Caenorhabditis elegans: one gene and its partner. The protein of the gene in region 2 interacts with the protein of the main gene of each other region in a biochemical or structural test. Each region holds a gene or a part of one and is shown on either strand. Other genes may lie near its edges.

Evidence for each region.
Region 1: the proteins of nlp-40 (region 2) and aex-2 form a complex in vitro, tested with the Caenorhabditis elegans proteins (2 studies listed by BioGRID, with this or other methods).

The regions. Positions count from the first base shown.
Region 1 is NC_003284.9:9,650,304-9,655,177, reverse strand, and holds aex-2 (G-protein coupled receptor aex-2), read left to right. Parts: upstream 1-2,061; 5' UTR 2,062-2,062; coding exon 2,063-2,230; intron 2,231-2,313; coding exon 2,314-2,468; intron 2,469-2,516; coding exon 2,517-2,667; intron 2,668-3,341; coding exon 3,342-3,491; intron 3,492-3,538; coding exon 3,539-3,748; intron 3,749-3,794; coding exon 3,795-3,926; 3' UTR 3,927-4,179; downstream 4,180-4,874. Other genes in the region: F34H10.4 (uncharacterized protein), read right to left, coding at 4,804-4,869. UniProt on the Caenorhabditis elegans protein: G-protein coupled receptor for the nlp-40 neuropeptide. The activity of this receptor is mediated by G proteins which activate adenylyl cyclase.
Region 2 is NC_003279.8:9,548-17,532, forward strand, and holds nlp-40 (Peptide P4), read left to right. Parts: upstream 1-1,947; 5' UTR 1,948-2,014; intron 2,015-2,070; 5' UTR 2,071-2,093; coding exon 2,094-2,142; intron 2,143-5,403; coding exon 5,404-5,613; intron 5,614-6,925; coding exon 6,926-7,038; 3' UTR 7,039-7,290; downstream 7,291-7,985. Other genes in the region: homt-1 (Alpha N-terminal protein methyltransferase 1), read right to left, coding at 180-299, 548-601.

The DNA of each region.
Region 1 (4,874 bases), on a different chromosome or scaffold from region 2:
TTCCACACATTCATTTTCTCGAGAATTCAACTGCGTACTCATTCTTGTGAAATGTTTACCCGCTAGAACACTTTGGGTAACGTGGTACCCAGCAACAGTGCGTCTCGACATCTCGAGGTTATTCCCAACCCAAATCCAGCAAATCCAGCCGCCAACGCAGATTTTTATATACTCGTTTGCATTTCTAATAAGAATCGTGGGCACTTGCATACGTTGTGATTCGAGATATGTCCTCGTTAATAGAAACAAGAAAAGAGGAGAAAATGCTAAAGTAAATATGAATGTTTAAAAAAGAGGGACAAGAAAAAGCCTCACCTTGCTGCAAGTTCTTTGTTCTTCTAAATATGAAAAGGTTATTTTTTTGTTCTTCATTAACATCGCCAAGCGCTCATTAATGCTCTCAAATGGCACTAGGTCACGTAAGTTTCAAAGTTTACAATACAAAACAAAGAGGCTAAAAGTCAATTTTAAAATTAAACACACTATAGTATGTTTCTCCACCCACTTTTCAAAACCTTATAACTTCGTATATAAATCTGTTAAAACTCCGAAAGCGACTTGATAGATCTTGAAAGATTTATGAAACCGTCGAAAAGTGTTTCCGTCAAACCAACTGCAGCATTGCACTCAAAAAGTGGAGACCATTTGCTCCCTTTCCAGAGAAACAAATAAAATGTGCTCAGGGCCAAGGCCACCGGCTCAAAGCCACATGTCCTGAACGATTTCTAGTGCTCACTTCCCAATTCCTCAATCCAGACGATTCTAATTAGACATTTCGCTCACTCATTTCCCTTCATCACCACCCATATTCCTTGGTCCGTTTTAACATTTCAATTGATGACACTTACGTATTCTTAGAAACACGATGAATTCCTGAAATTTAAAAAAAATCTTGTGAGCCCTTGATTCGGGAAAATTTGATGATAGTACGATAGATTGACACTTTTCTTATTACTTCCAATGTGTTTGAGTATGTGTGCATGATAATTTTTTAAACTTTTAAAGATGATTGCTTTAAAAAAAATTGCTTTCACCTTCCTGAAATCTAGCGGAATATTATTCTTGAACCAAATCATAAATATTGTTTTTTATAAATTTTTCTAAATATGGATAATGACACTGTGCTGGATTTTGACCCTTTATAGTTAGTCTTACCATTTACACTTTTCCATGGATATAAGTACCTTCTTTTTAGGTATCAATGTTTGAGAAACTATCACGTTACATTCTGCCGAAAAAAAAGTCTGAATATGAAAATAGAAGTGTTGTCATGTATAAATAACCTTTCCTTTTTTTATTTTTTTCTGTTACCCGAATATTGAACCAAGTCCTTAATACATCCTGCCACCCACGTTGGTGAACACTTAAAAAGCGGCATACCAATTATACCCATTGCTCATCGAAAACCATTTAGGTGCAATAAAGACGGAAAATGTTCTATAAAAGAAAAGAAGGGCCTCACGAGTCATTCACAAATTAGTCAAATAATCCTCATTTTTCAGTAAACTTTGAAGCGTTGGCCATCACTAGAGCAAAACGTTTTTGTAGTGTTGGTGTCACGTGCGACCAAATGCTCTGCAGATACAATTATGCAACATGCAAAAAAGCATTCATAGATTTTTGCTCCCCATGCTCTATATATCTCTCCAGTTATTTTCATTTTATCTGGACAGAAGACGAAGGTTGACCATACCCGTTTTCTCCTACTTTCCTTGCGCCTCACAATCAGCTCATGTTTCAAGACACATTTTCTCACTTTTTTTTTCCAAAAAGACATAATAGTTACGTGAGAGCATACACATATGTATATTTTTCAATTGACATAATGATGTCACGTTCACATTTTATCATTGAATGGAAAAGTGCTTTGAAGGATCTGGTTTAAAATTCAACAAGCCTATCAGAGTAATCTAATTCTTCCACCTCATCGTTCTCTGTCCTGTTTCTGACACTCTTTGTGTTTTCTTCTCCTTTTTCGTGAGTTTTTATGCGGACCCTTTTTGTTTCTTTTTTCCTGCCGTGAACTTATCTCGACCTTTTTTCTAACAAAACAAATTTCAGAATGAACTCAACGGACATTATTGCAAATGTCACAAAACCATTTGTAGAAAACTTAACATTAGGAGAAACGGCGTTTTATATCAGTTGTGGCATTGTTGGTACAGTTTTCAACGCATTAGTACTATGGATTGCACTCACATATATCAATACGGAAGATAAGCCTAGACAGGTAGGAAATCTCTTTTAAAAAAGAAATAGATCGAAATTCATACATCTTGAGCTAAGAACGATCTTTACAAAAGCAGTTTTCAGATAATTGTTATCAACATGACAGTGGCGGATCTTTTGATGTGTATTGTGTACATGAAAACTCGCCCATGGCTCTCACATTTTAATCTTTGGCTTTGCCATCCCTACTATGTTATCATTTGGACGTGTCAAATGTGCAGTTGCTTGAATCTCGTTTGGTACGATTTTTGGAAAATGGTGTCATGAAAAAGTAGTTTCTATTTTAGGTTGAATGTTGACAAGCTGATCTACATTCAATTTCCGTTGCATTACTATCAAATTGTGAATCGGAAACGGCTTTTATGGATTACTGCAGCGACATGGGGAGGACTTTATGCAATGAACATCGCACTTGTCACCTTTTTGAAAATAACTCGAGTAAGTTATTTTTATTGCAAAACAAAACATTTGATCACGACGAATGGAGTTTTGAAAAGAAAAAAAATTAGATATTGAAACAAAATACAGCAATGTCATAAATTTGAACGATAAAAAACCAAAACATTAACGTAAACTGAAAGTTTCAAAAAGGAAGATGGTACCTGTATATTATACACCATATTAAAAAACATCATATTAAAAGTTAACAATACATTTTTAAACAAAACATTCTAAGTTATATAGCGTATTGTGTTTTTCCTCTACAAGTTTAAAGGGAGGCACATTTTTTGCAAAGAGATCCTGCCGCGCTTTCACCTTTCATACCAAAACATTTTATTTAAAAAAATGCTGAACGCGCGGTGAGATGATTTTTTATAAATGTCTATTGAAGTCGGGAAAAAAGAAAATGAAATACGCTGTATTACACAAGTATCAAAACCTCTAATAAAAGTTTTGCAAATCGAAATACTGATCAAATCTGAATTGGAGTTTTTTTAAGACCCACGGAAATAATATTGAAATCAATATTTACATGTAGGTATCTTAGGTATGAAGAGCTGACTAGTTAGTTCTGAAATACAACTTAGAAAATGTTCCATGTAGATGACATTTTGAAAAAAAAAACGGAAAAATTTCAAATTTCGCCTTTTCAAATTAAAATAAAATTTCAGGGAAGCTGTCTTGGAGTATCACTTAATCCTTATGTATATCTTTTGAGCCCCATATTCTATGTCGTAATGATTCTTACGTCATTTTCCTTATCAGCTTTGATCTACTGCATTGCTCACAATTTGACCCATATGGAGGAGCGGCAACGATCGGTATTCAAAATTTAGTCAAAGTCTCTTAACGATAGTTTTTTTTTCAGAAACTGTTTCGTCGGCTGTTCTTCTTGTTTTCCAGCACATTATGGACTTTCTTCACGTGTCTTCCGTATCGGCTCTTGTACCTATTCAGTATTTTTTGTGGAGAAACATGTCAAATTAACAATTATTACAAAACTGCAACCAACCTTTTTTTCCGTCTTTTAATCGTTGGTATCATGATTAATCCAGTGATCACTATTTGGACTCAGAGAGTGAGTTATATTCCCACTGTGCCACATTATATTCAATACTTTGAAGATTTATCGCCTACGCCTTATGCGTATGTTTGGGCGACTGCGTGAGAATTCATCAACTGAAGTATTGATGGTTAGCAATCGACGAGCATCTGAAAGGCCGCCGGAGCACACCCCCTTACGGTGTGATATGTAGATCGTAGTAATTCGCAATGTATGTAAGTAAAACTTGTGGAAAAAATGTTCACCATGGTACCCGGTGACATTTTCATTTTCTGATATTTCTTGAGCAACGGTTTCCCTCTTCTGAGTTTTCCCCAATGCCATACTGTCCAGCCCAGCATAATTTATTATTACTGCTCTCGGTAAACTTTCAAAAATATTCTGTGTTCTGATGATGCATTCAATGTTTACCAGTTACAATGTACTATAATAAAGTTGATGTTTTGATTTCTGTTTAGTTTTAGTGTTGCAGGAATACTGAACTATTTTTGCACAAGTGTCTTTTGTTCCGACGGTTTGTTTGGATGCGTAATTTATTGAAAGAGAGCAACAAAACACATAAGATTTAATATATTTGAAAGAAAATGGATGGGTAAAACTTCAGAAGTCATATAAATTGGTAAGAATACAACTACATGGTTTTGAGCCTGGCGGGCAGAATTAACGGGGAACATTAAACAGAGTTGTGGAAGAGCCGATAAGATGGTTTTCAAAGAATATGAATAAACTTTAAGAAAAAAAACAGAAGAACATAATTGAATTGAATTGGAAACAGAAAAGATATTATAAAAAACAATCGGTGTTACATATTGAAAGTTTAAGGAACTTAGGATCATCAAAATATAATGCTGAAACTTTTAAAAATCATCGATTTTTAATACAATAGTGTTCTGAAAATCTGAATTGATGATTGAAGCAATGATTACAGCGTGAAGTTGGAAACTAATAAAAAAGTAAACAATTAAAATCATCATGTTTGAAGAGAAAATGGGAAAAATAATAGGAACCACCAAAAGATAAGAAAAAAGAAGAAAAAATTTAAATGATAACTGCTCAATCAGGAATCCGATTTAGATATACTTCTTCAAAGCCGATCTCACTTTAGATACAAGATATTGGACAACGCTTCTAACTTTCTGAA
Region 2 (7,985 bases):
CGAAATTTTTTAAAATAATTTTTAAAATAACATTTTTATTTTATTTCGAAAACTACCGATTTTAGAAAAATTCTAAAATTTCGATTTTTTTTGTTGATTTTTCGATTTTTAAAATAAAATTTCATAATTTTTTAAACCGATCTTTCTTGCTTTTCCTGAAAAATCGATGATTTCTATACCTTTTTCTTCAGTCCTTCAATAAATCGTTTCGACGCCGATATGTCGGGCGCGTGAAGCGCTTCGAATCCGCCGAGCATTCCGTTGACGTCCTGGCTCGCGCGGCTCCAGTATTCCTCCGCCTGAAAGAGAATAGTTGAAAACATTGTTTTGAGACTTAAAAATTTTTTTTTTAGTTTTTTTCAAAAATTCTTACATGTTATAGAGTTTTTTTTTCAAATTTTCAGCTTTTTTCAGAAAAACTTAGTATTTTCGATAATTTTAAATAAAAAAGTTTTTTTTCAAAAAATGTTTCGGTTTTTTTTTTAATTTTTGGTCTAAAATTCTCCGCAAAAGATTTGCGTGCTGGCCGAACTTTTTGATTTTGTACCTTTTCATAAACATCTTCACCATTGTGAATTCTAGAAGATGATGAAGAGCTCATTTTTGATGTTGTGACAGCTGCTCCGAGCAATCTGGAGACTTTTGTGACGAAAAGACGAGAGGTCACGGATATGATGATGATACTGGAAATGAGATATTTATATTTACTAGTTCATCGGGAAAATTATTACGAGAAAGATAAACAGACATGTGCGTTTTTTTAATGGAAGAGAAACACAAGAAAAATCTGGAAAACTAGGCCACGGCTATCAGTGTCGATTTACGGCATACGGTCTCGACACGACTATTTTTGTTAAATGTGAAGGTATGCACCTTTAAAGAGTACTGTAGTTTGTAACTCTCATTGCTGCAACATATTTGACGCTCAGCGAAAACTACAGCAATTCTTCAAAAGACTACTGTAGCCTTTGTGTTGACTTACGGGCTCGATTCTCGAAACGAATTTCTGCTCGAATTGTGACAGCCATATTCAATTTGGTATAGTCTTTTCGTATTTTTTGCCATTTTTCTGTTTTCTTCTAATATTTAATCTATTATTAAATTATGTCCGTAACTCCCTCCAAAATTAGAACTGCGACCGAACAGAGATTCGTTCCGCCCCATATTCCGGCCAATCAGATCGAGTAGGCGGAGTTCGAAGTCGCTGATTGGTTTGAAAAGTCGCGGAAATTTGCAAGTTTTAAGGTAGCGAAAACTGATGACTATTGTAGCGCGCTTGTGTCGATTTACGGAATCTCGATTTTCAGGAATGAATTTTTAATTACATTTTTTCGCTCAATTAATATTCTAAATAAATAAATAAATGATTTGAATTAATTTAATTTCATTCGAGCCCGTAGATCGACACATGTGCTACAGTAATCATTAGTTTTCGCTACGAGATATTTTGCGCGTAAAATATTTTCCCGTAATAACTCTACTCCGACAAACATTACGACCTCCATGGAGGCCTCCAGGTATAGGTGAGACTCTTGTATTTCCAATTCAGAGACAATGCGTCACTGGAAGAGAAAACGAAGCGGAAAAAAAAACACGGAAACCCAAAAATAGTGTTTGCCCCGCTCTATTCTTCTCCAATAATTTCTGTGTCTAATTTTGAAAGACTCCACCTGTGTATGCCTTCTCGACATAAACCCCCCCCCCCCCCCCTATCTTACATGGTACTGATAACACTTTCAGTCTTTCACACTTTTGGCGCGCAACGCCGCTCTTTTTTCGCGGCGAGCTGATGACGTCATCAATTTTTCATCGCTTTTGATTATCTTCAATGTTCTAGAAGGGCACATAGGTCATCCTTATTTTTTCCTTCTCTTTCTCGTGACGGCCCTTGTTGCGCATGCCCGCCCCCTAGAGCAGGGCGTGGCCTGAACGGCGGCTCCGAGAGCTACTCATTCTTGCCGCGTCACCCTCCAGCGCCACCCAAACTTCTTCGGTTCTAGAGATCGAGAAGAACGTATGATTTTTTAAAATTATAATTGTTTCTTTCGAAAAAAAAAATTTCATTTACAGTAAGCCAAACATACACAATCAACATGAAACTCGTAATTCTGCTATCTTTTGTTGCGACAGTTGCGGTTTTTGGTGAGTTTATGCTTTAGATAATACTTTTCCGCCAAAAATACAGTTGCCGGTCTCGGTATGGCAATATTTTTGTTAAATTCGAAAAGCAGTGAGTAATGTAGTTTCGAATTTTCGTTTCTGCTTAATTTTCATCAATTCATCGTTTTTCTCACGACTTCTTCTTTATGAAAAATCAATGAAAATTCTGACTAGGTCAGCTTAGGGGTGAGGTACCTAGAGACGCCACATATGCCAAACGGAAGCTGAGATCATTGGCTACAAGAATATGCTTTCAAATTCTGCAACGGACCTCTGGGAGTCTGGAAATTCTTGTCTGAAATTATGCTTTTGAATGCTCGAAAGTGGTAAGAATTTAGAATTTATTACAGAAAAACGTTTAATTAATAAAATTAGTTTTATACTTGAAACAAGTACTGTATGCACTGTATCAAAACACATTTTCATCTTTTCTAGGTATTCAACTTCACGTTTTTCTGTAATAAATTCTAAATTCTTACCACTTTCGAGCATTCAAAAGCATAATTTCAGACAAGAATTTCCAGACTCCCAGAGGTCCGTTGCAGAATTTGAAAGCATATTCTTGTAGCCAATGATCTCAGCTTCCGTTTGGCATATGTGGCGTCTCTAGGTACCTCACCCCTAAGCTGACCATTCCCTAGTGAGCAAACAAAATTTTGAAATTACAGTACTATTTAAAGGCACATTGATTTTTTGGGTCAAGCAAAAATTTGTCGTGTCGAGACCGGCTACGGTATTTTCGCGAAAAATCGCAAAATCTTGCGGCTGGGATATACTTGTGCGAAATACTTTTTGCATTAATTTTGAGCAAAATTATTTTTTTTAGACTTTTTGAAATCCAAATTTTTTGGATTGCGAAAAAAACCTGTGTCCGGTTGTTTCATTAGGCCAACAAAGTTCCTGGAACACTGATGAAAACCATGATAGAGGCGGAGCATAATATCGATTTTTCGTACTTTCCTGTATTTCTTCTTCTATATGGCCGAGTAGAACAGGATTAGGGGTAAAGTCAAAATTTTTCTCATATGGATATCATATGGATATCAAAATTTTTCTCATATGGATATGGAGAAAATTTTTCTCATATGGACTTTGAAAGTTGAATCACTTGACATCTGGGAAATTAGTATTCCAGGCGTAAGTCGGATCTGTTAGAAACGGAATACTTATAGGCTTCGTGAATTAGGTAGACTTTCAATTAATCTGATCCATGGGAGTCAGACGCGGTTTCCAGGCCTGACGCCTGCCTCCAACTTGCCCGCCTCACGCCGGTCTCTCGCCTCATTTCTGCACTGTGACGAGACAGACGAAGGTCGCCTTCTGGCGCCCGCATGGAAATCCTACGAATATGTCAGCTTCTGATGGGACTCCGTAAATCGACACACAGGGGTACCTCAGACATTTCCCTCCCCCTTACAAATTGTTAGGACAAGGAGGGGGAATTCATCTCCACTCGAGACACACATATGTTGTCGTCAGTGAAGTGTAAAGATCTAAACGATTGCGTGTATGAAAAAGCACTCTATGATCACCTTTTTCATCTTCCTACACCCTTTTTAGGTGTGGTGCCCATCGAGCACTCACGCCAGGCAGGGAGAGCACCGGTCCCTGACTAATGGGATTCGAATGTTTTAGACCGGAAATAGGAGCGATGAAAGAGCATAGAAATGATCATTTGGAAATCACGTTTAATTAGGTTACGGCGAAAATTTGCAAAAAAGAGCAGGAAACTTGGCTCAAATCCTTCGAAATATAACAACTAGGACTTCCATGTAGGCGTTAAAGCGCCCTGTCTCTCACCCCAATCCGTACCTTAAGCTGAAACAAACGTGAACTTTTTTCATTTCTTAAAGGAGTATCGTCAATGGGAAAATTGTTTTAAAATGTAGTATTTGTACTTCAACTTCCAATTATTGCAAAAGAAAAACGGAAAAAATCCGTTAACATTCAGCATTTTAAGTCGAAGAAATCTTTAAAATTTAACTAGAGAAATCCTAGGCCACGACGCTCATTCGAATTTTAATTTGTTTTGATATTGTATTTTGAAAAAAAAACTTAATACAATTCCTTCTTCCCAGTTTTCTATAACTTTTTGAGAAAAAAACGAATTAAATTCCGAAAAAACTACATTTAAATCAATATTTTGTTTACGAATATGGCCTAGAAATCGCGTGGTGGCCTAGGATTCATTTGCGCGCGAAATTCAAATTCCGTCACTTTCGTCGATTTCAACGGCTAAATGCTGAATGTCAACGGATTTTTCCCGTTTTTCTTTTGCAATAATTAGAAGTTTGAGTACAAATACTACATTTTAAAACAATTTTATTTTTGGTATTTTGACGAAAAATTGATTTATTGGTTTTTTTGGTTGTTTGGGACCAAAAAATCCAAAAAAAATGTTTGGCGTGTCTAGTTTCGACTCGAGACTATTCTGTATTAAAAATACATTAAAACATGTATTTTAACACAGTTGTGACGTCATAAATGTATTTTGATACATTTTGCAACATTACTTAAATAACCCCATTAAAAATTAACCTAAGCATCAAAAATTTTTTGGTTTTTTTGGTTTTTCGAAAATTTCAATTTTTTTTGTTTTTTGGTTTTTTTTGGTTTTTCAAAAACTTCAATTTTTTGTTTTTTGGTCCAACATTTTTTTTTGGTCTCAGCTCTGCTGCCTACCCTAGAAGAACTAATAGCGCTTCAAAAACTGATGAAAACGTTCAAATTTGTCGAAATATTACGAAAATTTGAAAAGTTGGCTCAAATCTAGATTGAATCGGCCGATTTTCCACAAGTTTCCAAGTTTCCACAAGTCGCCACATATCCCGAGAAAAATCGATTCAAATTGTTTGAAAATTGGAATACTGCGAATTTTGAACCAAATTTCCCTGGCTTCTCTGTTGAAATACTTGAAAATACCGCGAAGCAAACAAAAAATCTAATTATTACGTGAACACAAAATTCTGAAAATGCGTATATATTGCGCAACATATTTGACGCGCAAAATATCTCGTAGCGAAAACTACATTAATTCTTTAAATGACACGCTGTATGTGGTGATTTACGGGCTCAAAAAATTATTTTCGAAAATCAAGCCCGTAAATCCACACGTAGTAATTATATAAAGAATTACTGTAGTTTTCGCTACGAGATATTTTGCGCGCCAAGTATGTTGCGCAATACGCAACCCCATATGTTGATATATACTGATGTGAGGATAAAAAACAACACAACTTTCAGCGGCTCCATCGGCTCCGGCAGGTCTCGAGGAGAAGCTGCGTGCTCTTCAGGAGCAACTGTACAGTCTGGAGAAAGAGAACGGAGTTGATGTGAAGCAAAAGGAGCAACCAGCAGCAGCCGACACATTCCTTGGATTTGTTCCACAGAAGAGAATGGTCGCGTGGCAGCCGATGAAGCGGTCGATGATCAATGAGGATTCTAGAGCTCCATGTAAGTTAGTGGTGGTGGCCGGAAAAGAGAAAACTCGGCCAAGCTGCTCGGAGTTTTTGAATTTTTGATAATCCGAAATAAAAATTGATTGCTCGAAAAGGAACAATCTTTTGGAAAAAAACGAATTTTGTCATTTTTTTCAGCAAAAATTGATTTTCGAATTTTTCCAATAAAAAATCGATAATTTCTCCCCGTGCAGTGGAAAACAAACAATATTTTTTTGTTGATCGTTCTCTTCCAAACCCGGAATAGGTACACACATTCCTGCGTCATCCCATTCTCTTATCACACTTTTTTTTCGAAAATAAAAGTGTAGAGACGGAAAAGTGAGAAAGGAGTCAATTTTATGCGAAATTTTGCATGATAATACACTCAAATTAAAAAAACTGCGTGGCGTGCACTGCAGAAAACCTCATATTTAGGCCCCGCCTTTTTCTCGTCCACTCACGGAGAAAAGGCAAAAATTTGGGGACCAACCAATATCAGGCCGCCGACATCCTACGGGTTCCGCGCGCCGCTATGTTTAACTCGCTGTGGGTGTGGCGAGCTGTCTCCGCCCGCTGCGAGTTAAACATAGCGGCGCGCGGAACCCGTAGGAAGTCGGCGGCCTGATATTGTTGGTCCCCAAATTTTTTCCTTTTCTCCGTGAGTGGACGAGAAAAAGGCGGGGCCTAATTATGAGGTTTTCTGCAGTACACGCCACGCAGTTTTTTTATTTTGAGTGTATAGGTCTCGATTCTCGAAAGTATGACAGTTATTTAAATGATGAACTCGTGATGACTGTTAAATTTTTGGAAATTTCGGGGGAATTATATCGATTTTTCGATAAATTTACAGGAAAAAAGTCCAAAATCTAGGTATTCCATGGTAGGCAGGCGCGATTTCTTGACGCCTGCCTGGAATCTGTCCGCCTCACACCAAAAAATGTCAATCATTTTGCTGAAAACCAAATTAAGAAATGAAAAAGTGCACTTAGAGATGATGACGGAGGTCGCCTTAAGGTCAGACAGGTTAAAAAACCGATTTTAGTTGAGTTTTCCCGAAATTTTCTGAACAACCGAATTAGAAATATGCTGCTTGTCATTTTTGAGTAAAAATTAACGAAAACTTCGACCAAAACCACGAAAAAAATGAAGAAAATAAAGATTTTTCGAGAAAATAACAACAAAATCCAGCAAATAGTGAAAAATAGTTTTATCCGAGAAAAAGTAGTTTAGACGCTATGAACTCTCGAAAATCAGATTTTTTCAATCTAAAAGCCATAAAATTATCGATTTTTTAAAAATTCTCACTGAAAACCGGCGAATTTCAGTGCTCCACGCAATCGAAGCCCGCTTGGCCGAAGTGTTGAGAGCCGGAGAACGCCTCGGAGTCAACCCGGAGGAAGTTTTGGCGGATCTTCGTGCTCGTAATCAATTCCAATAAATATTCTTTGCCCTAAATACTTTAAATTATCCATCTGACAACTAAAATTTCGGTTCTTCTTGGCTTCTTCTATTTGTGAAATGGTTTATTTTCCCCCGAACTCTCAAAAGGTTTAAATATTGTTCGATTACCCCTTTTTATCAATTATTTTCTTCAATTTCTTATTTATCATTATTTTTCTAAACGAAGACGGATGTGATTTTAAATTATGTTAATGGACTATTTTACAAACTGAATAAATTCAGCATGTTGGCAGGTTTTTTCAGTAGTTTTTGAGTGAAAATAGAGGTAAAAAGACAGAAAATCAATAAAAAATGAAAACAAAACTATGAAAAATGGTTGAAAATCGAGCAAAAATCGTTCAAAAAAAAATAAATTCAAAAAATAATTGCGTCGAGAAACGCGTCAGTAGCCGCTCTCTGCGTCTCTCACCCTTCAGCACGCGGAGAGAGCCACGAGAAATGCGCAAAGGCTAAATTCGGCGCGGAAAATCATTTTTCAAAATAAATTCGACGAGAAAATCAATACTTAAGTAATTATCGATTTTCAGCTCGTTCAAAAAATTTTCAGAAACGTTTTAGTCGTTTAAAGGTTTTTTTAAAATTAAAATCGTCGGAAGTAAAAAAATAGCGCGGATGGAAATCTACGGAGTGCGGAGCGAACAAACGCGCGGTAATTCAAATGGGTAGAATAGTCAAAATTGAAAATTAGCCAGCATCGACCGATTTTTTTAAAACTTAATGGATTTTTTCGTTTTTCTTTTGTGGTATTTCGGCATTTAGGATTAGATAGCACATTTTAAAGTAAAATTCCCATCCAAGCTACTCCACCTTCTCCAGACTGTACAGTTAAACCAATTTGAAAAGTGTATTGTATCCCGTTTTTTTTTCTGAACAATTTTGAAAATTTTTCGTTTATCCAGGATACGATAATCATGATTCAAATTC